3 linked regions of the Oryzias latipes genome follow. The protein of the gene in region 1 binds, or shares a complex with, the protein of each later gene. Links are inferred from orthologs where the notes say so. Each region holds a gene or a part of one and is shown in the gene's direction. Other genes may lie near its edges.

Evidence for each region.
Region 2: the proteins of itgav (region 1) and itgb8 are in contact, whole or in part, in a cryo-EM structure (PDB 8TCF), measured with the Homo sapiens proteins. The link is inferred for Oryzias latipes from reciprocal best matches to the Homo sapiens genes ITGAV and ITGB8. Residues at the interface, in NP_002201.2 of Homo sapiens: Tyr48, Phe51, Trp123, Leu141, His143, Gln150, Glu151, Arg152, Pro154, Phe184, Gln186, Phe189, Pro204, Trp209, Asp249, Tyr251, Tyr254, Arg275, Arg278, Thr279, Gln301, Met302, Ala303, Tyr305, Phe308, Pro328, Leu329, Met331, Ser335, Asp336; in NP_002205.1 of Homo sapiens: Ser197, Pro198, Ile202, His203, Pro204, Arg206, Ile250, Asp251, Thr252, Pro253, Thr287, Ser288, His289, Leu290, Ala291, Leu292, Asp293, Lys295, Leu296, Gly298, Val300, Pro302, Glu321, Ser324, Leu325, Gly326, Gln327, Glu330, His349, Trp350.
Region 3: the proteins of itgav (region 1) and itgb6 are in contact, whole or in part, in a crystal structure (PDB 9CZA), measured with the Homo sapiens proteins. The link is inferred for Oryzias latipes from reciprocal best matches to the Homo sapiens genes ITGAV and ITGB6. Residues at the interface, in NP_002201.2 of Homo sapiens: Tyr48, Phe51, Lys72, Trp123, Leu141, His143, Gln150, Glu151, Arg152, Pro154, Asp178, Ala179, Phe184, Gln186, Phe189, Pro204, Tyr208, Trp209, Asp249, Tyr251, Tyr254, Pro274, Arg275, Arg278, Thr279, Met302, Ala303, Tyr305, Phe308, Pro328; in NP_000879.2 of Homo sapiens: Ser183, Pro184, Phe185, Lys187, Thr188, Thr189, Pro190, Ile236, Asp237, Thr238, Pro239, Asp273, Ser274, His275, Phe276, Gly277, Met278, Asp279, Lys281, Leu282, Ala283, Gly284, Val286, Pro288, Glu308, Thr311, Ile312, Gly313, Gln314, Ile316.

Annotation. Positions count from the first base shown.
Region 1 is NC_019879.2:14,011,261-14,021,575, forward strand, and holds the start of itgav (integrin alpha-V), read left to right. Parts: upstream 1-4,145; 5' UTR 4,146-4,298; intron 4,299-4,452; 5' UTR 4,453-4,556; coding exon 4,557-4,705; intron 4,706-9,329; coding exon 9,330-9,457; intron 9,458-10,315.
Region 2 is NC_019869.2:9,732,419-9,742,002, reverse strand, and holds part of itgb8 (integrin beta-8), read left to right. Parts: intron 1-600; coding exon 601-766; intron 767-2,898; coding exon 2,899-3,057; intron 3,058-3,132; coding exon 3,133-3,228; intron 3,229-3,893; coding exon 3,894-3,986; intron 3,987-4,811; coding exon 4,812-4,952; intron 4,953-6,664; coding exon 6,665-7,067; intron 7,068-7,171; coding exon 7,172-7,391; intron 7,392-7,489; coding exon 7,490-7,569; intron 7,570-9,584. UniProt on the Homo sapiens protein: Integrin alpha-V:beta-8 (ITGAV:ITGB8) is a receptor for fibronectin. It recognizes the sequence R-G-D in its ligands.
Region 3 is NC_019861.2:14,540,535-14,550,118, forward strand, and holds part of itgb6 (integrin beta-6), read left to right. Parts: intron 1-3,155; 5' UTR 3,156-3,170; coding exon 3,171-3,225; intron 3,226-3,534; coding exon 3,535-3,614; intron 3,615-3,720; coding exon 3,721-3,919; intron 3,920-3,997; coding exon 3,998-4,244; intron 4,245-4,333; coding exon 4,334-4,499; intron 4,500-4,761; coding exon 4,762-4,923; intron 4,924-5,328; coding exon 5,329-5,424; intron 5,425-5,655; coding exon 5,656-5,745; intron 5,746-6,619; coding exon 6,620-6,754; intron 6,755-8,409; coding exon 8,410-8,827; intron 8,828-8,911; coding exon 8,912-9,134; intron 9,135-9,536; coding exon 9,537-9,584. UniProt on the Homo sapiens protein: Integrin alpha-V:beta-6 (ITGAV:ITGB6) is a receptor for fibronectin and cytotactin. It recognizes the sequence R-G-D in its ligands. Internalization of integrin alpha-V/beta-6 via clathrin-mediated endocytosis promotes carcinoma cell invasion.

The DNA of each region.
Region 1 (10,315 bases):
GCTCAGTTATCCTGCCAAACTGTTGCCATGTGAATTCTTAGGTCATTGTGATGTAAGCCGTTACTGAGTATCATGAATTCAGGCCAACATGCAGCCAGGAATGAGTGAGCTGTCCACTCTTAGGACAACCGCATGACCTGATCTTAACCCCATGTCTGGAATTTGATCTAGTGTTTTCTTTTTCTCAATTGACTTTAAGGGAATCACATTTCACGTCAGATTTAATTGAGTCAGACATATAAAATAAATAATTTGTCTATGTGGATAAAAACATTACATTTCTACTAAAAGGAAAACAAGGATCAAATGCAAGATTTGAAATTTGTACAAAAGGAAGGTAAAAGTGAACTGATTAATTTAATTCAACATGAAAAACATCATTGCTGACTGTGTGATCCTTCTGTTTATTGCTGGAATGAACTTCCTGTTGGGCCTCAGCTTTGTGTTGTGTTAAGCTGAATCCAGGCCGACAAAGACACACAAACACGCCTGATTTGAATACGTCTAAAGTTGTAAAAATGATCATTGGTAGACCAACAGATTGCTAAGCATCCGTGTTAATTTGGTAAATAATTATAAGGTATTTATACCAACACTTAAGTAGGAATAAAATATTGAAAAGTTGGTGTTCACCTTTCTGCACATACTGTCAGGGGTCGCTACCGTGAATCAGCTTTCAATGATCCGCACATTTTGGTTTGGCAGAGAGTTTTATGCTGGATGACCTTCCTGACACAAACCTGTATTTTATCTGGGCTGGGGACCGGCACAGGGAGACCTTGACTCGGGCCCCACTGGATTTAGCTCATGGCGCCCCCTTGGAAAAGAACCCTGGTTTCCCATGTAGCGATAATGTATACAGAGGTATTTTAGTACCCTTCAATTCAGAAAGAAAGAAGCTTGTTAGACATTTGGTCAAAACACAGAAAGCACTGAAACATATTGCTATTACTGTTATTAGAAGTAATTTCATTGTATTAGAAATATTTTAAAAAACACAAAGCATTGTAAAGGAAATTTGTGAGATTGCACTACTTTTTGAAAACACTACAAAAGAGAATGGCATCATGTCCTACTTTTGTTTTCTGTTCTTTGGTGAAGAATATTAATACAACAATAACACAACATTATAGTTACAACAATGACATTTTATTCTTAATATGAATTTTTTCTCCTCTTTGTTTTTCCCTCAGCAAAACATCCGCCTAAGCCCATCCCCTTCCTTACATACTGCTCACTCTCACTACAACTTCATCTCCTCCTTCACTTCATCCATGAACCTCCTCGTTAGCCTCCTGCTCAGAAGATCAAACCAATATTGAATCCTTTACATTTGTGCCAATACTTGCTTAAATTAAATCTTTTTAATACTATTTAATAACACATTTTATTTATAAGGCGCCTTTCAACCAGCTTGATGGCTTAGTTGGCTACATGCAGGACTGGTTTATGGGAAACCAGGGTTTTATTTTCCAGGGGGCATGATGAGTTTATTCCATTGTGGGTCCTTGAGTAAGACCCAACACGTTTCTGCCTAACTATGTAGCCACAAGGGGCTACACAGGGGGCCCAAGTTCGGGCCTCCATGTGCCAGCTGGTCCCCTGCCGAAAAATAAAGGGCTCTGTCAGAAAGGGCATCTGGTGTAAAACTGCGGATTTGTACAGGTTTATATCATTTGCCGTGGCGAACCCTGATGAGATATGCTAAAAGTAAACAACATTTACAAGGCGCCTGTAAAAAACTCTCAGGGCCTGGTGTTCTCCTGGCTTCAGGGCTCTGGCTGCTTGGGGGAGGGGGGGATCGGGGGTGCGCACTTGGCTAGCATTGAGGCGGGGGTTCATGGGTCTGTGCATTCTGGGCACAGGGTGGGCGGTGGCTGCCAGCCGGGAACGTTCCTGGACAGGTGTGGCCGCTGAGGCTTGGCCTGGGAGGGATCTTAGGATTTTCGGGCCTGGGGCTTGGCTGCCCTCAGCCGGTGTTTTGCCCGTGGCCGATTCCTTGGCGCTTGGCCTGGCCCCTGGGGTCAACGATGCATCAACAGCAGAGGGGTGAAGGGGTTAATTTATTGCACTTTCGGGGTTCCTCTGGGCAAAGGGCTTTAAAAAGGGCTTTTTACTTAATTTAATTACTTTACCTTTATTTTTTATTTGTATTTATTTCCTTTTTCTTTTCTTTTCTTCATGATTATTATTATTTTATTAATGTATTTATTTATTTTCTCCTTCTTTTCCAGCCAGCCGCCCACTGCGGCTGGCAGTGACCGGCCCCCCAGCCGCCCACTGCGGCTGGCTGGGGGGCCTTCTTCCCCCGGTTGTGCCCATCCGCCTCCTCCTTTCCGCTCCCACCGAACAAATTTTGCACACATGCACAGAGGGCTCCGGGAATTGGACGGGTGGGATATGCTGGTGGGGCTGACCGGGAGTTACTCTCTTTGGGGCCTCATCGGCACTCGCCCTCCATTCCACTTTTACTCGCATATTTTAGGGATCGGAGAGGGGCGGCCTGGTCCCCCTGGGCGGCCGGGCGTGTGGGGACCCTGTTAGCCGAAGCAGTGGCCAGGCGTGCGGTGCTAGGGGGTCGGTGGGCTGGAGTGGGTTACTGAGCAGCCACGGGGGGCAACCAGAAGAATGTGTGTGTGTGTGTGTGAGAGTGCATGGGTGGGGACAGGCCTGGGGGCTCACCCTCCCTTTTCCAGAGTGGGAAGGGCAGCGGGGGGATAAGGGAGGAGTGCTGTAGAGGGTAATGTGGGGGGAGGTAGGGGTGGAGCTGTGGTTGCATCATAATCTTTGGGCTGCTTGGGTCAGGCTCCAGCTGGGTGGTGGGCGGCTCCTGGGCCCACGTCTCGATGTCCAGCGCCCAGTGGCCCGAATGGCTGCCGCCCGGTATGTCGGAGCACGCCTGTCCTGTGGCCTGTGGGTCCTGACACTGGGCTCGCCTATACTTCCCGGTGCCGGAGGAGCCCCTGTAGGGGGCCTTCCTCTGCACCTGGCTGGGTAGGTGGGCAGTACCACCCCCCCCCCCCACACACACACACACACACACAATCGGGTTGCGTGGGTCCCGTTGCTGCGGACGCTCCTAGTGCAGGGTCTCCCCCATTTACACCTTGTCTATCCGAAGATTCGTAACCCCCTTTTGTAATAGTAAAACCTGTCCAACACAAAAGGCCTTCAGCGCTCATCTTTTTGCTCAGTTGTTGGACAGAACAAGTTAGAAAAATAATAATAAGAAAAAAACTCTCAGGGTAGGTATAAAGTAAATTTTATCTTATTTTGTATTAAATCTTACATAAAGTTATGTAAAATCTAACTTTATTGTTTTAAAACACTAATAAGTTGTGGCAAAGTTATTTTTTTAAGTAAATTTCCAATTTTATATTTAATAGATACATGGACAACACAAGAGTACTGGTAAAACGGGATTAAAACAGAGCTTTGAATTTTGCTCCACTAACTTGAAGTGATCCTCATAATGTAAAAATGTTTTCTTAAATTATCCCAATTAGTGAAGAATTTTATTTAATTATTCACCAAATAAGTAAATTATTTCTGAGATCAATTATAATATATCTGCATTACTGTAATGTTATATTAGGTACTCTGCTAATACTTTTTTGTAACGCGTTCCTTCCATCACAGTTCATGACTGTTAAAGTCCCACTCTGCTCTTTTTTTAAAGTGTTCCCAGTGGTCTTTTAATAATGATTATAGAGTTATTAGCCAAAATTAAAAAACCTGTGTCATTTTCTGGAAAATGGTTTCTGCAGAGCAGCAGGAGTTCATCAGAAATTTGTCTCTGAGTTGTGGGCGGGACTTATAGAGTTAGCCCGTTTCTACTTCCCGACATCCATCTGTTTACACTCTGTCCTGCTGGCTTACAACCAGCCTCTCACACCCCCCCAGCCTAATATTACCTGTTCCACAAATACATATTATATGTTTAATATTCTTTATATCATGTCCTCCATCATCGGAAAAATACAACAATAACATGTTAAAAAAACACGATTCACTGGAGTGGGTCTTTAAGTTCTCTCTTTGTTCACTGACCATGTATCTAAAATCAAAGTTTACGTCAGCATGGGGAGCTTTTGATTTGAAAGGGACGGGCCGGAAGTCATTGAGCAGATCCCCCCCCCCCCCCCCTTGGTAAATTAGCCTGATTTTAGCTCGCTCTGACTGTCACACATTTATCCGTGAACAGGAGCTGTGCAGCGGTGGCCTCTCCGTGGAATCCCGCTGTTCTGTAGGCTACAGAAGCCCGACCGGATCAAAGCTTGGTTCGGCCGTGTCGCTGGGTGTGTAAAAGTCGGTCCCTCCTGGACGAGCCGACAACACAATCAGTGTCTGTTTTACATGAAGACTTGTTCGGCGGTTGCGAGGCAGAGCTCTCGGGTGGACGGCTGAGATTTTCCAGGCTGTTTTGAAGTGACGCCGTTTGATGTTTTCAAGGCACCGGAAGTTGAGTTTGCGCACACGGTGAGTGGCAGCATCTCCTCCGCCTGAGTGAGTGGTCCTCGGTGAAGCCGCGGAGGTCTTCAGCAGCAGCAGCAGCCATGGCGGGGGGACGCACCGCTGTCGCCGTTCTGGTTCTGGCGTGTTTACGCTTCCATCACAGCAGCTCCTTCAACCTGGACGTGGACAAACCCTCCGTGTACGAAGGATCCGAACGAAGCTACTTCGGCTTCTCGGTGGACTTCTTCAAGTAAGGGTTAAGAAGAACATGCGAAACATGACGGGATTAAGATAAAGTCTAGGAATTTTCGAAAGGCGTCTGACATTTAAGCACGCGGGAATTACTAATTTACTCAAATCATTTGACTTAACATTAATTTTCAAAAAAAGAAAATTTAAGAGTAAAAAGTAATCAGTTGTAAAAACTACAGAAGCAACTAAAATTAAACATAAAATAAGTATACCTTCTTCTAATTAATTGTAATGCATTTACAAGGCAAAATAACAGAGCATTTAAAAATAAAATAAATCGAAATAAAAGTAACATTCTTTTGTTTGCAGTGTTTCTCACAACATCCAGTCAATAATTTTCTGAAATGTGAAATCAAGAAAATGGAGATTAGAAGCTATGTAATACAGTAAGTAGTGTTTCCTAATAATTATTCTGCCTGAGGTAGATAAAAAATAAAAGAGGTGGCAACCAGGTATGGCCTCCTCACTGAAACAACCTTTAGCGTTTCTGAAGAGGACATTTATACTCTGTTTTCCTGTCTGTAACATGTTTGTTACAAACAAAAAAACAAAAATCTGAAAACTGGGAGTTCTTGGATAACTATAGGAATCAGATCTGCCACGTCTATAAGCTCTTCATCAATTTGACCCTATTTTAAACACCTCTTTAAAGACCCACCCCAATGCAAAGAAAATAGTGTTTTTTTACATGTTCTTGTGGCATTTTTTTCATGATGGATATATATAAAGAAAATTATTTAAGCTCAAAATTGCAGTTCTTGGGAATCAGGAGCAGACGACAAAATACAGGTTGAATACAGTTGTATTTGTGACGTAAAAAACACACCAGCTTCCTGCTCTGCTCCATTCTGATGCATCCACTTGCAGACAAAAAGACCCATGTACGTCTTTGTTTTCCTCGTCTGAGGTGGAATTTGGATCTAAACTGTACATATGGATAGCCGCAATATTCCTTACCATTTTTGTTGCACTGCTAATATTAGGTTGGGGTTGTGAGGGGCTATAAACTAGCAGGAAGAGTGTAAATAAAGGGATGATGGGAAACTTACTCTGCCCCAATGGTCCCACCCACAAGTCAGAGGTAAATTGCTGATGAACTACTGCTATTCAGTGGATGTGTAGTCATAAACGAAACAATTTTTAAAAAATGTTTTTACTATAAATCTGTAAAACAATTCAGACGTTTCTGTTACCCTTAATGAAGAAAAAATAAATTTTAAGTAAATGGTTAAACATCTGACTTTTTTTCCTGCCAAATTGCTTTTAAAAAAACATTTTCAAACATAAAAGACAGAAAGGAAACAGATTGATGTGTTTACATGTAGAAAGAAATCAGTAGATGTGCTATAAATCTCAATGTAATAACCTGACTGTCACAAGATAGCTGCCATTTGTCAATATCTTGATCTGATCAATAGGGACCAGACACTGATCAGATACTGGGTGTGTAAAATGGTTCAGTCCCAATGGAAATGACCCAGTTTGCTGCTCTTTTACAGAATCACCTTTATAAGTTGTTGTTTCTCTATCATATCTTAAACCAGCGCAAACAGTACCTATTAGCATTTCAAAGAAACAAATAATAAAAGTTATTCAAAATGGTGTTTTTTCACTTTGTCCTCATCTTCCTAATATTTCAATTACTGTGTACTCCAGCCATTGAATGCATCAGCAAACCCTTTTTATACTTGTTGGAATTCACTCCATCTGGTGCAGTTGGAGAAGTTAAATGCCTCACATGCAGGTTATCTTTGCTCAAATGATTAATGTATACTCTGGCTTAAGTATTTCAAACCCAAGCATTTGTTTGTTACAGATTTAATGTTAACTACACAGATTTATTTTCAGTACTATTGTAATATAATGTTTATGAAATACCAGTTAAAGTAGGACCCACCTTAGTATTAAGTCTGCTGACTCGGTTTCATTCAGAACATTCTGAGGTATAGTGTATGTTTTAATTGAATGATGTCATAAAGTGTGGCAAACAAGTATTTATCAGTCACTGATTATGCAAGTGTTCTCACTAAGAGGAGTTTGGTCTGTAGTGTTCATCATTAAAACCTTTCAGCTGTGAGACAGAATATAAGATAGAAACCAGGAAATTACATTGCTTGATTTATAAGGGAGTTATCTGAGAAATGGTGCAAAAAATAAATATTCAACTTCAAACAAACATACAAGACTTCAGTTCCTCACAGACCTGTTACTACTTCTACAAGAAGTTCTTCTATTCCCCACTGGTTACCTGCATTAATGTCACCAGTTTGAACTATTATTTGCATAAAAGACATGTGTCCACACTCTTAAACAGCCAGACTGCAACCTCTCCACAATGATCAAGACGAAAGAGCTGTCAAAGGATACCAGGGACAAGATTGTAGAGTGGAACAAGACTTGGATGAACCAAACTATAATAAACAAACAGCTTTGAAAGACAAGATCAACTGTTGGAGCAATTATTAGAAAAAGTAAGAAATACTAGATCACTGACAATCTCCCTCCACCTGACACTCCATGAAAGATTTCACCTGGTGAGGTACAAAGGATTTTGAGAAGGATGAGGAAAGAACCCAGAACTACATGAGGGAACTGGTTAATGACCGGAAGAGAGCTGGGAACAAAGTTCACTAAAGTAATACACTACGGCGTCATGGATTGAAATCTTGTAGAGCTCCAGAGGTTCCCCAGAACATGTCCAGAACCATTCAAAGTTCTCCAGAGAGTATCTGGATGATCTAGACAAGGATTGTGAGATTGTCGTGGTCAGATGAGACCAAATGGAACTCACTGTGTTTGGAGGAGAAAGAGTGCTGAATCCCAAAAGTGCCATACCCCACTGTAAAGCATGGGGGTGGAAGCATCATGGTTTCAGGCTGCTTTTCTGCAAAGGACACTGGATGACTGATCTGCTCCATTACACAAATAAATCCTTTAAAAATAAAACATTTTTTAAACTTTGTCTCTCACACTTAAGGAAACTCATCTGTTGAAGTGGATCATCTTACAGATTTGTTGAATGTCAAATACTTTCAGCTCTTTTTTCGTTTTCATTGGGTGCATCTTAACATTAGTTTTTCTTGCTTGTTTGTACTCTATTTTGGCTTAGACTTTTAACAAAAGTGAAGAATCTGATCTTTCTCATGTTTTCTGGTTGAAATCTTGGTGGAACACAACCTTCTGCTTCACTGTGGATTATTCATGTGGGTGACTCATTTAGTCACATAGTCTGGAGTCTTTGGAACATTGTGACAGTCTGGTCTTAAGTTTTCCTGCTTGCTTTCCCTCAGAATCTGTCTGAGGAGACAGTTTGACATATCTTAGTTCACACACACTTCCTGAAGATGGTTTTCAGAAATTTAAAGGCTGTGTCATCATAAATTAAAAAAAGTGACTTGTAAGGTCATCTAAGTCTTATTTTTTCCTTTGTGCTATCTAGTTGGGTCCAGATGACCTCGTCCTTACATTCCATGACGAAGGTGTTATAGGATTTCATGTCTGCCATGGACACCAGTGAAAATCAAAAATCATTGGGGAAAAAAAGTTCAGCCTGCTGTTTTGTGGGTTCTAGATGACCCCACTCCCACGAATAGCTGCCTTGGATAGCACAAGGTTGTTGTCATCACTAAAACAGAAAAACTTGGAGTTAAAGTTATTGCTTTGCAAGTAAATCAAATATTTAAGGTCAAAAATGACAAGTTGATTATTTGTTGTTGGATTTTCTACCATAAAAATTGTTACCTCAGTCAAGAGGAAGTGATTAAGAAATGGATTACAGTGAGATGGCAAGAAGATAATCCAGAATCTTTCAATATTTTTGGTAGTTTTTATTTGCAGTTGAGCTGCCAAAGCTCAGGTTTTAGAGGATTAGATGAAGATGAGCTACTGCTGCTATGTTCCCTGAATGACTAAACAACTTGTTGTTTTCACGCTGCTATCCAAAACTGAAGTGACACGTCAGTCCATAAACAGCATTTGTCCATCCCAGCCCCGTGAAGCAGCAGTCTGAAAGAATCATCAAACACAAATACAGAAATGTTCTTTTGTATTTTGTAATCCATTGAGTGGTTACCTCTGGATAATCTGCAACAAAAGCAAGCTGCCGCAAACAAAGACGCTTTGTTTGAAAACTCCTCCTGCTGCACAACTGGAAGCTGCTCCAGCTTGCATCAAAATGAAAAACCAGAGGAGCTCTATCACACCTCTGGTTTGTTTTGTTTGAACCATTTAGCTGAATGGAGATTTTTTTTCTCGAAAGTTCAGACTCTGTTTTCCATCACTACTATTCAAGTTGAATTCACAAAAACGAGCTCTCTGGTGGTTTGACGTCATGTAGCCACTCTGGATTAGGTACTATGGAGCACAGAAATTCTTCAGCGCTCAGACTGATTTGGATTCTCTTAAACATGGAATTCTGAGGTTTATTTGTGATATCTGTCAGACTAATGTGGTCTGTTTAGAGATAAACAATCTTCATTAACTCCAGATGTTGTGGGTTCAGATAAAGTTCAGATAACTTGTCTTTTTATCTAGTGCATGGAAGTCCTGAATGTGTGTATATTTGGTCTTGCTGCCTCTCTGTGACCTTTTTGTGGAATCTAATGCCTGGTCTGTCTGTCCAGGTCAGACGTTCTCGTCGGAGCTCCTCGGGCAAACACCTCGTCCTCCAGCAGCGTGGTGGAGAGAGGAGCGGTATTCAGCTGCCCCTGGAACAGCAAAGACTGCAAGGAGGTGCCCTTTGACAGCTCAGGTACCAGAACTTTCTGCTCATGCTTGGTGTTCTGGTGGAGCATTAAAGTAGGAGTTACACTCTGGGTGACCATAAACTACTTTCTGCTGTTGCAGGAAGTAGTTTATGGTGGATGGAAGTGTGTAGCTTTGGGACAGTTTGAGGATAAGTGATGTTGTGGAGCAAAATACGCTTTTTTAGCCAACTTATCTTCAGACTGGTGCAGACAGTTTGAAAGATCTTCATCTTTCATTCAGCATAGTGGCTAATTCAGAGAACAATATGAAGGATTTTATCCTGGAAAAATACAAGGTGTGATTTCTATCTTTTATCATCTGTCTGGGCGTGTTCCTGACTCACTTTCCTATCGGCTACAGTTTTGTCAAAGTGCTGCTCTTGTCAAAAGTTTCATCACCCCAGATCATGTAAGAATAAGCAGCAATTTCACCTCATGAGTAAATGCTTTTCAGTTTTTGTCGAAAAAGATGCCTGTAAACCTGATTTCAGAGTTTAGATCCTGAAAGGTGGAAAAGGCAGAAAAAGGGGGAAGGAGAGAAGCAGCTGTTGATGCAATGCAAAATGTTCCTCCAGGCCAACTTCACCCAGTGCAGCAATCCCCATCATTATGAAGGGAATGCTCAGACATGCCCAAAAGGTGCAGGCTTTAGTTCTGTTGAAACTGGTGCAGGTCTCCTCTGTGGTTTACTTCATCATGCCAGTTGGAGTTTCAAACAAAAAAGGTTTGAGAAGATACTTCATAAAAACAAAGTTCTAGTTTTCCAAATCCTAGGTTTGTGGGTTTTGACTCCTCTCATATGTTTTGGAAATAAAAAAATACTAAAAGATGTTAGTTCTCTTTGTCGCAAAGTAAAGTGACAA
Region 2 (9,584 bases), on another chromosome or scaffold:
GTATTTCTTTCTTCAAATCATAAATCAGGAGCAGATAAAAAAATGCAGTTTAAAAAAGCTTGTAGTTGTTAAGTACAAACTACAATCATCAGGTCACAAGCTTCCTGCTCCGCTCCATTCTGATGCATCCAATTGCAAATAGATCCATGTACGTCTTTATTTTACTCGTCTGAGCTGGAATCAGGAACTAAACTGTATGGCTGGATAGCTACAAGATTGCTCACCCTGTGAGGGACTGTAAGCTAGCGGGAGAGAGTGTAAACAAAGGAATGATGGAAAATGAGCGCAGGCTTACTCTGCAACAACAGTCCAGCCCTCTTTTATTATTTGGATACATGAAAAACACATGTAGTATATTTTCTATCTTTTTTGCACTTTACAATTTAAAAAAAATTCTCAGATGTTTTTAAGATACAAAAAATATTAATGTATTAAAAAAAAGAGGAAGTGACAAGGTAGAGATGGTCTTGTGTGGTCAACATAAACTTGGATGCTAGGACAGCATTATGAATACGAGATGTGCATGTAAAGCAGTGCAGCAGCTCTGCATTCCTGACTGTTGCAGCTTAAAACATAAGACTGTTTTGCGTTTCTCGCCAGCGATTATGAGATCCGCTGTCGCCCGGCCCACGGTTTCCACCACGTTCTCAGCATGACTGGGAATATGAGCGAGTTCACGCGTACGATCAAGCGCCAGCGCATCTCTGGTAACATGGACACACCTGAAGGAGGGCTGGACGCCATGCTGCAAGCTGCTGTCTGCCAGGTGAATGGGGCCTTCAGTGTTGTGTCTGCATGACACTGAGAAGGGCTTTTGTTCAGGGACAATGGGTGAACTCTGACTCAGCATTGAACGTTATCTCTGCAATAGCATTAAGCAGAAGACATCAGTGTGGAAGTATGGCACACAAACAGTCACAAATGCTTACACTGGGGCTGAGTCACGCCATGTAAGGGGGCACGAAGCAACCAGTTTTCAGGGAAACATCATGGTGGTCATCAAGGCCAGAAATAGATTCTCCATTAGCTACTTATAAGCTTTCCTCAATTGCTCACGCATTTGCTCTTATTTTCTCACACGGTCTCTGCAGAGGTTAAAGACATAAAGGAGACACTGTCAGCTCGTGGGATTTTAGCTGTTTTAAATTGTTTCTTCTTTACAGAAAAATGTGAACATAACGGCAATAGATCTGATTCCGATGACTGAAAAGTTTGACACTGCATTTTTCTTTTACCGCACTCATAAAACTTCAAAATGGGAAGCATATGGAGTCCTGTGAAAAAGGTCCTGTTAGTTATCAAGCTCCCTATGTTAAGTCCAAAAAAAATCATCAGCACTTTACTTAGACTGAGAGTTTTTAAGAAAAGTTTGAGATGAACGACAAACAGCCTGTCATGCCATTTCATTATTTTTTTACTGTAGGGTATTTACATGTGTGATATTGCAATCCAGTGGGAAAAACTTACATATAACTGTTGTTTTTTTAATCATAACACACTACATAGATAGGTACATACCTTGTTAGCCAACGACACACGTTAGGCCTTCGTCACAACTGCCCTTATGGATGGATATGGGCTCTCTGCGGTGTACATGTACAGGGCACGCAGACTGTCCGCATCCGAGACACAGGCACGTCATACAGATTTTCCTTTTTTCCACCCCCTTAAGTCCTGTGTGCTGTGCAAAGGGCCCTTTAGGGCTGTTCAGGTAAGTGTGCGCTCCTTGCCTGCAGCCTGACTGTTACATATTAGGAAATTAGAGTGTAGTTTGTGCGGGCATCCTACAGGTGTCTTATAGGTGTGTGCAGCATTTGTTTACGGTCAGGGAGGAGCCAGTACCTTACCACCAGCTGAAGTGCTACGTAAAAGGGCATCACACAACAGCATTACTCGTAGGTCATAATTGCGTGTAACTTACAATATTCCTATGCTACGTACACAACAGGCATGTGATGTGTGTTCAAGAATGAGCCAAAGGAAGATTCTTGAAGGCGCTTTTAGCATACAGTGTTCACACTAGACTGTCGCATACTAGCATATGTCCCTACAGTTGGAAGAGGTTTGATGCAAAATGTTGTGAATCTTGCGCCAGACTTTTTCTTTCACTGCTCTATTGCGATTTATGAGAGACTTGGTGCCATAGAATTACGGTAAGACACAAAACGCAATTATTAATTCATCATCCATGATCACTTTGCAAACAGTTGCCACTTCAGAAAATAACAAAGGATGCTGACCATACATCACTAGCAAACCCGAGACTATTATTGGTCAAAGTTCAACTGGTTTAGCTTTCAATGTGCATTCAATGGCCTCGTGTCTTGTACTTAGAGGCCCAAACTAGACTCAAAAACGTGTGTGGTGACGTGTGTAGCGATGTGTGAATGCGAAACGTTTTGAATGTAGAAGCCCAAAATTTGCATTTACGTGCATTAACACAGATTTCTGATTGAATTTAGTCTCTTGATAGCACATTTTTGAGCCTGGTGTGAACGTAGTATGACAAATACTTTATAATCTGCTTATCACACACACAACTGTCATACATTTCCTTTTTATGACAACTCTTAAGGTGGCCGTATAAAACTCAAGGGAACTGCAGAACACACCTGCGTTCCTTTGTAGATGTCGAACCCTCCACAGGCCCGAGCACCCCAAAAACCCACAGCAGTTTCATGGGTCAACCTGAGTGCATGTGATTATGGCATAAAAAAAAGTAGAGTCTTTGCAGCAAATGTCCACATAGTGTGTTGGTTCAAGCACAAATTCTATCTGGAGCAATTCACATGTGTGCTAATTCAAATTAAAACGAAAAACTGTTGTGAAATTGTTGCTTTATTGTCCTAAAGACTTAGGAGCTAACACACCATACCTAAATGTGACTTTTCTATCAAGGATGCAGTTGGTTGGCGATCTGAAGCAAAGCGTCTGCTGCTCCTAATGACTGACCAGCCCTCTCACCTCGCCCTGGACAGCCGGCTGGCAGGGATTGTTGTGCCACATGATGGCCTTTGTCACTTGGAAAACAATGTTTACACAGGAAGCACAAAGATGGTGAGGAGTGAGAAGTAGTTTCAAGATTAAGAGTAGATTGACACATATCTCATCGTTGGGTTTTCTCCTTTATAGGATCATCCCAGTTTGGGACAGTTGTCTGAAAAGCTGCTTGAAAACCATATCTACTCTGTCTTCGCTGTGGATAAACAGCGGTACCAGTGGTATGAGGTAATCTGTCCCTCAGATGCAACCCTTGAACAGATAGTTTTACCTGATGATCCACATTCCAGTGTAACTAAAGTTAAAGTCCCATTAGTTGTCATGCTACGGAGCCCCTAAAGAGACATAGACGTAAGAAGTAAAAAAAGATTTGTACTGGTTTCTCTTGCGCACAAGAAAGTATCTGTGCACACCAGAAAATAAATGGTCATCTGCATATAGGAGACCTTTTCAGTAAGTCATCTGAAAATGACATTATGTGAACTTACTAACTTTTATTTTACCTTCAGACTCGCCTACAAAGACATCGTGGCTTTGCTTGTCCAGCGTCACCATTATGTCATCTCTGAATGTGACCTAAAACAAGTTCTAAAGTCTTTGGTTTGACACTTTTTGGTGCACGAGAAACCAGTACTATTTCTTTTTACGTTTATGTCCCTGTAGGGGTTCCATATCACACATTTGGATGTGTGAAATTATGTTCTGCATTTGACCCATCCCCTGGACGGAGCAGTGTTTTAATCCAGCTCCTTGCTGAGTGTCAAGCAGGCAGGCATTGGGTCCCACCAATCATGGATTTTTAACTCACAACCTTCCACTGTCAGGGTGGATACTCTAGTTTAAGGCCACTAAGTTGCTTACTATTCTTTAAATTCATGTGTTTGTTCCTCTAGGAGCTGGTGCGCCTACTTCCTGGTTCCTACTTGGGAAAGTTAAGCCTCCGTCAAGCACCAAGCCTGGTAGATCTGGTGGTGGATGCATATAAGGTAAGAATATAAGGTATTCTCCCTGTCCTATTGTGTTCCCCTTAGTAAAAGGAATCCTCCAATCAGTTGTGGCAACACAGTTGAACCTTTTCTTTTTACTTATTCCTTTTGCAGCCTTTTTAGTACCATCAGATTAGCAGACAGAGCTCCAGAATTCAATTGAATTTTTTAGCCCAATATTACAACAACAGACATCTAGACTCAAATATGTTAAATTTCTGTGCACGTTTTGTGGTACAACAACACACTTTTTACATCACAGAGAGTTCAACAACCATTACATGAGGTTTTTGAACAATTCAAACAGAAAAACATGGATGAGGACAAGAGGCTAAGGAGGGGTAAGCTTCAGCGTGCTTTTGTGTGCGTGAGACCTTGGGTTAGTTCAGTTGGCAGCAGTCTGCGACTATAATCTTGCCTCCGGCAAAGTGCTCCATTGTTTGCCTTGTGAATCTGCCGAATCCTCAGATTGGGGCATGCATCTACACACATATGTGCACACAAACACACACACACACACACAAACAGAGTCCAAACAGAAGCTGCCATTGTAGCAGTATCAGATCCCCAAGGAAACCATGTGTCCTAATCATGGACGGAGACAAAGATTCTATTTTTGGCTCCACCCCCTCTTACCCATAAACCCCCTGGTATTTGTAAAAGAAGAGTAGGCACAAAGAAAGGAAGTGCTTTCTAGTGATGTTGATGATTGAGCTGCTTTTAGAGAATTTAATCTAAGTCTACCTCAAAATCAGATTAAACTGGACGTTTTAGTGTCATGTAAAGCTAAAATTTAATTCCCCCTCTTTCTTTTGTCCCGCTCAGAGGCTGCTGTCAGAGGTGTTGGTGTCTGTGTCAGTGGAGGACAAAGCAGTCAGCAGATACTGGGTCTCTGTGTCTCCTCTGTGTCCCGATGGATCCACGCCTAAAGGCTGGAGCTGCACAGGAGTGCAGCCAAACCAGACGGTGAGCACTCCTACAGAGTATCAGTTTGTAGAAATTCAATCAAGAGAACTTTTACTTACAGAGAGGTTTCTTAGCCTTTTTTCTCCGTTTCGGATTGTTTGGACGTGCAAGAACACACCTACACAAGCACATTACCTAAAGCTTTCATGACAGAGAAGATTTGTTAAATAATCCAAGTTGAGCGGATTATTGCCTGTATTTAACAGGAAAACATTTCCATGTGATTCCGTGATCTTTTTTGTCCTCAAACCTTTGCCTTGCCTAATATGACTCTCCATCCAAACAAATGAGACATTTGATTTATAACGAAAATAACCTTAAAGACCGACCTGGAGGAAAATTGTGTTTTTGTGGCATTTTTCTCATGATGGAGAAAACATAATTAAACTTAAAATTGCATTTCTTTATTCAATTGTAAACCAGGAGCAGACGAAACAATGCTGTTTGTAAAAGGTTCTATTTGTTAGTAAACACGTTGGGCGGCCCACAAGCTTTCTGCTCCGCTCCATTGCTATGGATTCACTTGTGGACAAATAAATCAATGTATGTCTTTTTTTTCCCTCGTCTGAGCTGGAATCTGGCTCTAAACTTCTCAAAAATTTCTCGCCATTTTTGTTTCACTGCGGATGTTAGGTTGAGTTGTGGGGGGGCTGTGAGATTGTGGGAGAGCACGTAAACAGATGGATGACAGGAAGTACAGGCGGGCTTACTCAGCACCAACAGTCCAGCCCACAGCTCAGAGGCAAATTTTTAATGAACTACTGCCGCTCTGTAGAAACTATGTCCTAGATCATTTGGGCTAAAAATGGGATAATCATTTATAAAAGACCACTGGAAACACTTTAAAATAGAGCAAATGAGGATTAAAGTGGGTTTTTAAAAGTGTTTGTTGTGACTATTTGCTCTGCATGATTAAATATTTCAATTTGAAGGAAAACATAAAAGCACTTGGCTATAAATACATGTAGATGTAGATACACTAGATATGAATACACTGGGAATTGTAGCTTTGGTTTCTCTATTTCACATTCATAAATGTGCTGACATTCTCTTTTCTGTAACCTTTGTGTGATCCTTCTTAAACTCCAAGACACTAAATCATTGCTCTGTAATTGTTTCATTGTGGTGAGAGACAAACGCTCAATCCTTTAATCCTTGGATGGATTAAACTGAATTATGGAAAGAAGTTTTCCGCAGTGGTGATAAATATCAGGAAAAGGTCTTGTTGTGCACAGTTTTCCACATCAATAGGATAATTATTCATGCTGAGTCACTCCAACTATTTAGAACTATTTAGATTTTGCCTATGTACTGTTTAAAATTGAGGTATCGATGTTGTAACCAGGCAAAGAGATGCCATTCATTTACTGTCATTCCTGCAAACAAACAAAGGTTTGAACAGAAAAAGTAAATACTTTCAGTAATGTAGCATCCATCAACATACGATAGAAATTTACCAACTCAAATCCAAATTTAAATATGCCAGATGAGGACAAAAATATAGGGTAACTTTTTCAAACAGCATTTTTTTAATTCACAATGATTTGAATAAAGAAATACACAAAGCGCAAATTTGAGCGTGTTCTCCATCTTGAGAAAATTACTACAAGAACATGTTAAAAACACCAAAACACAATTTTTAAAGAATTTACTGTCCAGAAAGTGTTCTGTCAATGCGAAGCTAAAAATACTGCCCTGTTTTTGTCATGCAGGTCTACTTTAATATCACCATCGGTCAACACTCCTGTGCTGATGATGGCAAAGATGAAGACGTGAGGGTGATCGTTCGCCCTGTGGGTTACAACGAGTCGACGGTTGTTAGGATCCGTTCCAAATGTCACTGCCGATGCGGAACAACAGGGCATTGCCATGAAGACGAACAGTTGCCCTGTCAAGGGCCTCAAGATGGTGCAAAGCAGGAGCATCTTCTGCATGACAACACAGATCCAAGCAGGAGCTGTAGAGCGAGCGGTGCAGATGTGGACTGCAGTGGGCGGGGAATGTGTGTGTGTGGGAGCTGTGTGTGTGACCAAGTTAGACTTGGGACTATACAAGGGAAATATTGTGAAATAGATGACTTCTCCTGTCCATACAAAGGGGGACTAATCTGTGCAGGTAGGGAAAACCCTAATACATCAAAACTAGTTTGTAATAATGAGACTTTTGAAAATTGTTAACACCTGTAAACTAATTTCCCCCTTTTTCCATCTGTCCTTAAGGTCAAGGTGTGTGTGTTTTGGGACAGTGTGTCTGCGAGGATGGGTGGAGCGGTGATGACTGTGGCTGTCCCCTCTCCACAATTACCTGCTTTTCAAATGGTTTACTCTGCAATGGGCAGGGCAAGTGTGTATGTGGAAAGTGTGTGTGTGACGAACCTCAACGGCATGGAGACTTCTGTGAGAAATGTCCTACTTGTCAAAGCACATGGCAATCTTACTGGTACATGAGAAATTCAAATCTTGACATGAAATTAACATGAAAGTCAAGATCTTACCCTTGATTCACTGTGAATGTTTTCTTTTGTTTTTGTTTTTTAGTAAAAGTGGGACTTGCCTACATTCTTTTGGACTCTCGCAAAAAGAGGTGTCAATGGTCAGCTACATGGATAATGCATCAGGTAATCTGAGCCCAACTTTGCTTGATGATAATATGCTTCAATGTGACAAACCCATCATAACCCATTGGTCTTCTTCCTTCCTTCATAGGTTAATTGGCATCTCAAAATTGCCCATAGGTGTAATTGTGTGACCCTGCAACAGACAGGTGTTCAAAGTGTACCCCACCTTGTTCAGTAGCTGGGTTGGCTCCAGCAGCGGGATCCAGTGGGTTCTCAAGATAGATGAATATAAATGTTTCTGTTGTTTGTGTGAAAAAGCAGAGAAGACACAATGATGACATTGTAATTGTTGTTTATCTAAACACAAATGCACAATTTATCAATGTTTCAATCATATTCTAGAGTTGTAATTTGAAAAACTGACACGTAGTGAAAAAGTCGCTGATTTGGAAAACCTTCTAGTAGAGGATTTTTTGTTTTGTTTATATAAGTCTTAAAAGTTGTTCACCCCCAAAAATACTACAATTTAGGAAAAAAGAGATAAATTAAGTTACTCCAAAACATTAATTGTCTTATCTTGCTGAACTTACACTAAATTCAAATATTGTTTAGGCTTTATGTCATCCTACTTACATACATCCATCTTCAGAACCTGCTGAATTCTGGGGTTGCTGGAGCCTATCCCAGCTACACTTGCATAAGGGGGGGGGTACACCCTACATAGGTCATCAGTCTGTTACAGGGCCACACAATAACACACACTCACATGCACACATAGTGGCACTTTAGCCATTTAGCTATTCCACCTATGAAGCATGTTTTTGGACTGTGTGAGAAAGTGGCCGGAGAAAACCGACACATGCACCAGGAGAACACACAAACTCCACACAAAAAGGACCCAGCCAGGATTCGAGGCAGGGATTTCTCACTGTGAAACTTTATGTCATCCTACATGGCATTTTTTTCAAGTTATACGTCGCTCCCGAGTACGAGTCGCAGCACCAGAAAAAATGCATAAAAGAGAATTATGCATGAGTATGCATTAGTATTAGTAATTAAGTCACACTGGAGTATATGTTGAACTTTTGGTAGAAAGGTGTGATGCTATTGAAAAAGATTTGCCAAGCCCAATGTAACGCTGCTTTCACATCAAATTTTCATCAACGAACACATCACATTTGCTGCTCATTGGTTGTCCAAAAATGTGATCACAAACGTTATCGGTTGCGAAACAAACGCTAAAGGGCAACAGGTTGTTAGCGGGAAAATAAAGAATATGTGAGCCAATATTTATTAATCAAAAATCATATATAAATTGCTCCTGAGTATAGGTTGCACCCCCAGCCAAACTATGCAAAAAAAAAATTAAAATAAATGATAAAATAAAATGACTTATCCTCCAAAAAATTTGGTACATATGATAATTTGTTTAAATCCATTTTAGAAGACTCTGCCTTCATTAGGGTCTTGGCAGACCAAGTTTCATAATAACACAAGACTATAGTGTAACACACCTGTGCACACATGCTGTTCTAGTGGCACTTTATTGCTTGCAAAGCTGCACAACTTGTTGTCTTTGAGTCAGTAAGCCAGGTATCACAGTTACAGCTGTGTTTCCCATTTACCTTCAGTTCCAGCTTGATTTCTTCATTTTTTACAAACACACACACCTAAGCTGAATCCCAGCTGAGTCACTCCTGGACTGGATGACACACACACAAACGCGCACACACAGCACTGCACGTCCAAGAGTTACAGTTTTTAACCCTCCTTCCAAATTTTTGAACAGCACTTCTCATTGTGCACAGCCCTCCCAGCACCCAACGGGACACTCTTCCTGCTCACACCCACTCCTCCCCTGGTGCAGCAGGAGCCAGGTCCCCATGGTAACCACGTTAGAAAATGTCAAAGCCTTCTTTGGGCTCTTTGTTTTGACCAATCAGCCCGTCATCCGCACATGCTCACCAGCAGATACACAGCCAGCTGTGTTCAGCATAACTGGCAAAACAACCACTGGCTGCACTCTCCATGTGTGCTACTCTGGCTGAAATTACTTTTCGTATTAGTAGTTAAAA
Region 3 (9,584 bases), on another chromosome or scaffold:
AAACCAAAGTCAGGTTTGAAAGTTTGTGAGGTGGAAAAGTGTCTTCTAATTTGTGCCTAAAGCACCAAATGATCAAATGCAAAAACAAAAGGATGCAGAGGAGATGTGAGGAGAAAGGCAGGAGCCGTGCAAGTGGACTGACAGGCACACGGAGGGGAAGAATGAATGAAACGCTGACATCTAGAAGATAGGCTGGAAGAAGTGGGTGGGTTATGGAGAGGGGGTTGAAATTTAGGGGCAGAAAGGAGAGGAAGGAGAAGAGGTGGGGTTTGGTCCGGGGTGACAGATGGGACTCACTCTGATTCAGTGGGGGTGGGAAGGGGGGCTGGGGCTATATAGTGAGATTCCTCTGAGTTGGGGCTGGCAGTGATGTTGGCTGTGCAGCTGTCAATGGTTCAGTACCTATGCAGCTCCAGACCCTCTGACCTCCTGATTTAAACACACATGCACTGAGTTTCAGATCATGTGACCGGCCTGCAAACCCGTCTTTACCAGAAGTTAATCGTCAAGCTGCTAAAACAGCGTGGAGGTGGCAATAGTGACTCATGCCGAAGTTAAAAATTAACATAACTTTAGTAATATCGTCCGGATAATAGAGTTTAGCGACTGTATTTGCTCATGGTGTGATTTGTCTGAATTTTAGTGGTATTGTCCAAAAGACTCTGTGATTAAACGTTAGACTGTAATGTCTGACGGATCCAAACAGTTATGAGGAAATTAACAATATTTTCAATGTTACTATTATTTTAGGAAAGTTTGCTCTGATTCAGAAGAGGAGAGTTCATTAAGTTAATTGATTCATTGACACTTTGCTCCACTTTGCTTAAATAACATGCATAACGTAAAGGTTTGGGTGAACCAGCAGGATTTCTGCTCTAAGTTTCACTTTGATACAGCAGCCTTGGTACTCACGTACCACCCAGTGAAAAGACTTTCTAACGAAGTGAAGTTTTGAAAATAATTTGGGATGGTCACTTGACAGCCATTTTGTGGCAAATTGTGGCAGTTGTTGTTTTTCTCATTTTCCCGCAATATGGGAAAAGAAAAATTTTGTTTGAGCGATATTCATAAAATTTCACGCACATCCCGCCAACTAAACTTTGCAGCCACTACCAAGCGTTCGTTGAACTTTGACCTCAGGAAGAGGCAACCATCTTGAATTTTCCCCCAAAAAATCACTATGGCTATGTCCGAATTCCTACCCTAACCCCTAACTACAAAAAAACGATATAGTGCAGGACTGTGTAGTGCCCTGAATTTTAAAAGCAATTCAGACACCATGCTTACTACTTTTTTTTTTATTTTAAACAGTGAATATGACATCGTCGACGTCATTTTGCAATGATCATTTATGAATCTACTGTCTTCCGAAGATAAAAACGTTGATGGTTTATTAAAAAATACATCTAGATAAATTTTTTTGCCAAAAATGGTTCAGACGCGATACATTGTGATTTATATTCATCACTCTAGTGAGCATCGATGCACACTGGTTTTTGCAGAGACTTATGGGAAATTTCTAGGGCACTTGATTTTGGAATTGTAGATTCGGACAGCACTACAAAATGGCGAACACACTATATAGTGCGTAGGGAAGGAATTCAGGCACAAACCTTAAGTACCTTCTACAAATCTAAGCTCCGACAAGGGATTTTGATCTATCATCTCATAATCCCCCCGAGTATCAATCAGAAGCTACTACGCCAAAAAAGGCTAAATTTAGAAGTAGCAGATTTTGAATGGCGTTAGCGTTGCGATCAAAAGTGGCTTGTTGCGTGCACTTTTACATAGAATATTGTGTAAACGTAATACAAGAATCGTTGGCTCAAGCTGAACAAAACTGACATACGATATGAACATGTTAGGAATGGGAGCGTGGTTAACAGAAAACATCTGTGGCCAAGGTAATCCAAAAATGGCTACTTTTTGCTGATTCTTCTAAAAATTACATAGACCTGTTCGTCACACCCAGATGACCAAAATAACAAAATGGTTGCTATGGAGATAAAACCAACAGAAAAGCCACCTTTTGAAAAAAGTTATTTTTAATGAATTTGTCACAAGAAGCTTTGACAGGGTGGTATGGCAAAAAAGGGGAAGGGCAAAAAAGAGGGGCACATCCTCACTTTGCCTACTTAGGGCGGCTAGCTACTGCAGACATCCAGTACAGACCAAAAGTTTGGACACACATTCTCATTAAATTAATGGGAAGATGTGTCCACACTTTTGGTCTGTACTGTACAACGCCGCTTGGGGCTTTGATTTTAAACTACTTTTTTCCTTCCAAAAACAGGTTTAACTAAAACCTTCGAATTAGGAAGAAAGAAACTAGTTTTTGTGATATAATAATGTCAAAAGATGAAAAATTCCCTTAATTACAGCTTTTTAGATGAGAAAAACAGCCTCTTTTAAAATAAAATGTCAGATATTTTGTCCTAGACCAGCAGCTGGACTAAAGTAAACCTGGAACTGGCTATGACAGCATCATAATAAAAGGAGGTAACAGAGGAACACTCACTCCTGTAAATCAGACAGATTTAGATTGAATGACTCCCTGTAGCTGAGTGTGGAAAAGCCATGCAGGTGATCTAGAAAAGATAAGGAGCCATAACAGCAGCACAAAATCCAACACAGGTTGTTAAGACAACAACAACAACAAACCGCTTCAGACTTCACTGTGTTTCAACATTCATGTTTGATCACGGAGTAAAGGGGATTAATGAATGTGAAGCAAGAACACATGGTTAAGTCAAACCTAAACTTTAATGGAGCCTCTGCAGACCGTCTTTAGTCTAGTTGAACCTTTCCTCTTTGTTGGAACATAATCTTCACCATTTGACAAAATGTTAATGTCTCTCACGCCCACAAAACAGTATATGACAAATTACTTATGACAGATTTCTGCTACGGCTGGAAGAAAAAAAGGAGGTAGTGCGCGCGTGCGGTGCGCTCGCGCTCCCGCCTCGTTTTCTCACCTGGACGGAAGTGAAACCAAAGGCTGCGCAGGTAAAAGCAGCCTCTCGCCTCCTCCTCCTCTTCTTCAGGTGCTGCGCTGTCCCGCTCCGCTCTCTCTGGAGGATCATGGATAGGTTTCACGCCTGTAAATAGCTCCTGAGCCAACTTGAAACATTCTTCTTATGTTTCTTCCCAACCAGTAACCTGCCGGACTGATGGGGTTTCTACTGCTGAGCCTGATCCTGCGGTACTGGATCCACACCGTGGAGGGTAAGCGAGGGTTTGGTTCCGTTTAATAAAAGAAAGGGCGACACTTCTGTCATGCGCAAACATGAGCGACGAGCAAACACACTAACGGATACTAAATATTTGGGGCTATTGTGTTTATGTCAAAAACTACTATTTATTGAAATATCAACATCTGATTTGGGATATTAAAAAAAGTTTTTGTATCTCAAAAGATTAGGTCCCACAACTGTAAACAATGAAAAAATCCTCTAACAATGAAAATACCAAAGTGCCATACAAATATGCTTAGTGTCAACAAGTTCAGCTCTCCTGTGTTCATGTGAACTGCAGGATCCTGCTCAGAAGGCAGTGTGGTGACCTGTGATGACTGTCTGCAGCTCAGTGCTAACTGTGCCTGGTGCACAGAGGAGGTAATCAGCAACAAGTGCATGAAACCCCAACATGCGGACGGTCACATTGTACGGTTTTACTGGAAGTGCAATGCCAAATCCTTCAATGTGTTGCTTTGTTTTGTAGAATTTCACCGACTGGTTTTCAGTCTCACAAAGATGTGACACCCTGAATATTTTGTTGGAAAAGGGATGCGACAGAGCCCACATCTATTTACCCGTTTCCGAAGCCCAAATTCTTCAAGATCGACCTCTAGAGAAGAAGCCAGCTGCTGGAAACCAGACTCAAATCTCCCCACAAAAAATGTCCCTGAAGCTGCGACCTGGTAAGCAGTCAACAGACTTTCTTAGGCCGCGTCCCTCATTTTTAAACAAAATTAATGGGTTGCATTGTTTGCCTTCAGGCAGTGAGGTGACTTTCCAAGTAAAAATAAAGCACACTGAAGATTATCCGGTGGACATCTACTACCTGATGGACCTGTCTGCATCCATGTTTGATGACCTAGGGATGATCAAGAACTTGGGTTCTACTCTGTCTAAAGAAATGGCCAAACTTACCAGTAAATTCCGGATGGGTTTTGGATCATTTGTGGACAAGCCTGTCCTTCCCTTCATCCAGATCACTGAGAAACAGCTGGCAAACCCTTGCAGGTGTGACGCATCACTCGGCAGAAACTCCTCTTTTTATCTTCTTCTTTATTTTGACATGTTTTTTTTCTACCCCCTGTACCCCCCTACAGCCACACAAGCATGATTTGCCAGCCAACGTTTGGCTACAAACACGTTTTGCCTCTGACAAGCAGAACTGACAAGTTCAACGAGATCATTGCAAAGCAAAAAGTGTCTGCAAATCTTGATCTGTTGGAGGGTGGATTTGATGCAATAATGCAAGCAACAGTTTGCGGGGTAAGACAGTTTCCTTCTAAAATTACTTTTTTGGGGGAAAAAGCGAATGTAGATGATTAGAAACGCCAGCTGCTCCAGATTTGAGCCATATACCTGCCAGCTGATTCTTACTCATATCTCAGTCATGTCCAGCACTTCCCTGGTAAGTAGGAGCAGAAATCTGATTGGGACGGATTATTTGAGTACTTCGTTTAGTAAAAGTCAGTTTCTGTGTCATGAACTTTTATTCTATGATTAGTCATAGCTGATGTGGCTCCTACAGGACAAGATCGGCTGGAGGAATGATTCGATGCGTCTGCTGGTTTTTGTCAGTGGTGCCGACTCACACTTTGGGATGGATAGTAGGATGGCTGGAATTGTGATTCCCAATGATGGCCAGTGTCACCTGGATGCAAACAATGATTATTACATGTCTACATTGCAGGTAAACCTTAAGCCAGGTAGTTTAGATGCTTTAGGTTGAATTTCCAAAATAAACCCTTGAAGAAGGGTTTTAAAAAAAAATCAGAGTTGATACCAGACCACATTTAGTCCTGACTTTGTGTTTGCTTCTCAACTCCCCTTGAACACTTAAAAAAAACACATTGGTTACAACAGAAAATCTGGGTGCTAATGGATCAGATCTCTATAGCTCCAGTTTTGTGGTGATTTTATGTTAAACATATACTATAAGAAACACAAATCTGCCTTTTTTTTTCTTTTATGCGGCTTTAGTGTGTCAGAACCAACCCTCAAAAGCATGTATTTTCAACCTAAGATGCATATCCTACAAAAGGTTTAAATCAACTGAATCCTCCATGTCTACTCTTTGGTATCCCTACCTTTCCAGGAGTATCCAACTCTCGGTCAGCTGATTGAAAAAGTAGTGGAAAACAACATCCTGTTAATATTTGCTGTGACAGAGGAACAGATAAACAACTATAAGGTAAAATGAAAAGTTCAACTCTTTCCAGTTTTGTAGGTCTAAAAAAAAAGGATGAATTTTAAATCCTTTCTGACAGTAACATTTTAATGTACTGACTTCATTCTACCTGTTCAAACTAGCCCAGCCTTTTTTCCGCTTTTTTTTTTTTTTGCTTTTGAAACTACAGGCAACACTACCTACATTTGTTACAATGCCTCTTCTGTTTGCTTGTTTTGCTTTGTTTTCTTTTAGAATTATGCAGATCTCATACCTGGCGCCACAGTCGGAGTTCTGGCAAAGGATTCAGGGAATGTCCTGGAACTGATTGTGTCGGCGTACAAAGTAAATAAAGAGGCTGGTCAAGTCTGATTCAGAGCAAAATTAGCCAACAAACACTTAATAGTTAAGGGGAAAAAATAGGGTTGTTTTTTTACGATTATGTCATGATGAATGAAAGGCAACAGCCTTTTCTTTTCCTGCCCATTCTCCTGCTGTTCATCCTTCGCTTTGTGTTGTATTGCATTTTTTCATCTGCCGTGCCGTGCTTTCGCACCAGCAAGTTCCTGCTTGCCCCAGCTGTTTGATGTCCTCGCCCCTCTTTTTTTCTCTCTGCCGTTCTCAGTCTTGTTTTGTAAACCCCCCGCCGCACGAGCCATGATTGGTGGTGGAGGTGCACAGTCCTCTAATTACTTCGTCACTTATGCCCCTTTTGAACCGCACCTGGAGAGGAGTCCCCTTTCCCAATGCGTCTGTAGATACGAAGCTCAAAAGCAACACAACTGGAGGCTTTACAGTTTATGATATGCAATGGATCAAAATGTTGCTCGTTAGACATCGTGTACCGTAAATGTTTCCCCGCTACAGCGGCACAAAGGACGCTGTACAGGTTCATTCCTGGAGGAACTTAACCATCTGATGCCTCCTAGACACTTCGTCACAGAGTCCATTTGTCATTTTCTCTCCAGCAGCAGTTAACTGTCACTCCTCCTTCAGTATCACCTATCACACCTGGGCTGATGACTCACTGAAAAGGCAAGAAGTTTCAAGCTGTTAACAGATCATAGGTCACTGCAAGGTTAGAGTAATCATACATTAAAGAAAGCCCCACTTTTAAAAACAACAGGCGTTTGATGGATTCTGAGGTTGGCTGTCTAACAAAGGAAAGGTTTTTTTTTTCAGCACCTCTTTCCTCTTCATAAGGACGTCTGTTTTTCAGGAACTACGATCTGAGATTGAGCTGGAAGCTCTTGGAGACACAGAGGAGCTGCACATATCCTTCACAGCTATCTGTCCCAACGGGACGGCCTTTCCTGACGTGAAATACTGTTCCAACATCAAACCTGGAGAGACGGTCAGTGGCTTCTGCCTTTTGTGGCTTGCTGTTGAAAATGCAACCTTCAGACTGGTGGGTGCAGTTCAAAATGTTGTGAAGTACCTCATAAACCTATGACAGATAAGATAAATTCAGTTGAGTAAAGCCCAACAGCAGAAGTGAGTGCCTAACATGCAAACCTGGAGTAAATTGTTCTTTAAAAGCATAGGCCCTGGCAAAGTGATTCATACTGCAGCTCCTAAAGATTTAGGTACCAAATCTTCATAAGGTCTGTTGGGATTTTATCAAAAAAACAATAGGTTTTCACATTAATTAAAAAACACAATTTTTTTGGGAAATTAATTTAATGTTTCAAAATTCAATCAACCAGTTTCATAATTGACTTAATCCTGTTCAGACTAATGATGTAACAGACTCTTTTTTTTTTAAAGTAGGTTCAATTTTGGTCTATTTTAGGGATTAAAAACAGCCACTAATTCTGTAAATAATCCTTCTCAGAGACATGGCAGGGAACTGTTGCTTGAAAGCACAAAAAAGGCACATAAAGCAAAGTTTGTCTTTGACATACCTAGGATCTTTTTTTATGACTTAGCAAATCCACAAAAGAGTATTTTCACTGTGAAACAAACATTTTTAAAAATCTTGTTGGATAAAATTCATTTAAAAAAAACATGTAAGTGATCTTTATAGACACATTCTGAATAATAAACGTGGCATTTCCAAAAAAAAAAAAGTACTTTATAAGTTAATGAATCAGATAAATACTTTTTTGATTCCCAGCAGTCTATTGCTGCATACACACATCGGATCAATTCAGTTCAGTTTTATTTATATAGCCCAATATTACAACACAGTTGTCTCAACGGGCTTCACTAATTGTACAAAGCATAAAATAAGTTACAAAATACAATAGCTGATTATTCTAAACGAAACGAAACGAAACGAAACTAAACTAAACTAAACTAAACTAAACTAAACTAAACTAAACTAAACTAAACTAAACTAAACTAAACTAAACTAAACTAAACTAAACTAAACTAAACTAAACTAAACAGACTAAGCTAAACTGGGCATCTTTGCCCTTACACACTCCTTCTCGGTAAGGAAAAACTCCTATAAAACCATTACAGAAAAAAAAGAAGAAACCTCAGGGGTGTCCACATGAAGGAGGGATCCTCCCCCAGAACGGACAGGCGATGTACCAGGACTGTTAAAGAAAAATGAGCTTATCTAACTCTACAACTACATGTTTGAATAGTATAGCAGTTGGGCTTCATCCAGATGAAGTTGGGGGTCTGCTGGGGCCGTGAGACGAGCCAAAGGCGAGGTCCACGCCCAAGGACAGGAGCACAGACGAGACACAGTAGATTATAACAGACATTAAACAAACAAGTAAAATGTGTTAGCATATAATAATTGACTTAATAAAAACAATAAAAAGAGGATAAAAATTATATTGGACTTTCAGTGTGCAATGCCCCGTCAAGTTTCAGTTGAGCCTCCGGCTGAAATATCGAGGCCTGTCATTTTTAGCTGATGCCGAAAAATATTCTAACAAAAAAACAACATGTCAGTCATCACACTGCAATAAAGATTATTTTGTTCTGTATTTGTGCAAAGGTCAAAGACCAGTTTTAGTTTGTTAGCATCATAGAAGCTCCTCTCCTCCACAGGTGGTCTTCAACGTGTCAGTGGAGCTTCCAGGGTGCCTGTCAGGACTGCGACACTTCTCTCTCAAGGCGGTGGGCCTCCAGGACAGCTTAGAGGTGGAACTGGACTCTCTTTGTTCGTGTGACTGCCAGCAGCCTCCGACAGCAAACAGCAGCCAGTGCACTGAGGGCCAAGGAGTTTCCCAGTGTGGCGTGTGCGTCTGCCAGCCAGGCTTCCTTGGAGCTCAATGCGAATGCAATGAGGAGACTGCTTTGTTGAGCGACTGCCACGCAACCAATGACTCAGAGAAGTGCAATGGTCAGGGGGACTGTTATTGTGGCCAGTGTGTGTGTCACAAATCCAGCTTTGGCCGCATCTATGGGGCTTACTGTGAGTGTGACAATTACTCCTGTGTTCGTTTCCGGGGAGAGCTCTGTGGAGGTGACTAATCATAGGCGACCTATTCACTTTTTTTTTTACTTTTTTGCCGTTGAGCTCGTTTCTTAAAGGATTTCATGTTTGAAGGTCATGGTGTGTGTGACTGCGGGGAGTGTCACTGTGAAAGCGGATGGACGGGGGATTACTGCAACTGCAGCACAGAAACTGAGGAATGCAAGTCTGAGGACGGCGACCTCTGCAGCGGCAGGGGGAAATGCAGCTGTGGGAAGTGTGTTTGCACCGTTCCTGGAGCATCCGGGGACAAGTGTGAGAAATGCCCAACATGTGAAGAAGCGTGCTCCTCTGCAAGGTGAGCACACTGAATAGAAAGGGAATGTAGGGACTGTGTCAGATTTACTGCTGTGATTCATATCACGATATAAGCTGTTTTCTTCTTGTGCCACATGATCTGACGGTGCTTTTGAGTTCAGGGATATCGGGTTTTGATCCTCTTGTTCATATGTGTCTACACCTTCAATGTGACATCAAAAGACACTAATGTCCCCTACACAAGGCTAAAAGATTTCCTTTCCCCATTGTAAAGCAGCTGTCAGGGTTGGTGCTATTTGATACTACTGTCTGAAGGGTGACTGCTGGTAGAGAATGAGTTTAAGTCTTGGGAACACTGAGCACCGGGATTCCTCCTCATCAAGTCTCACTCAAAAAAAAAAAATCCAACCTTTTTTTTCTTTCTTGTCTGCTTTGACAACAGGACCTGTGTGGAGTGCCACCTTCAAGACAACGAGGAACCTGCTTCATG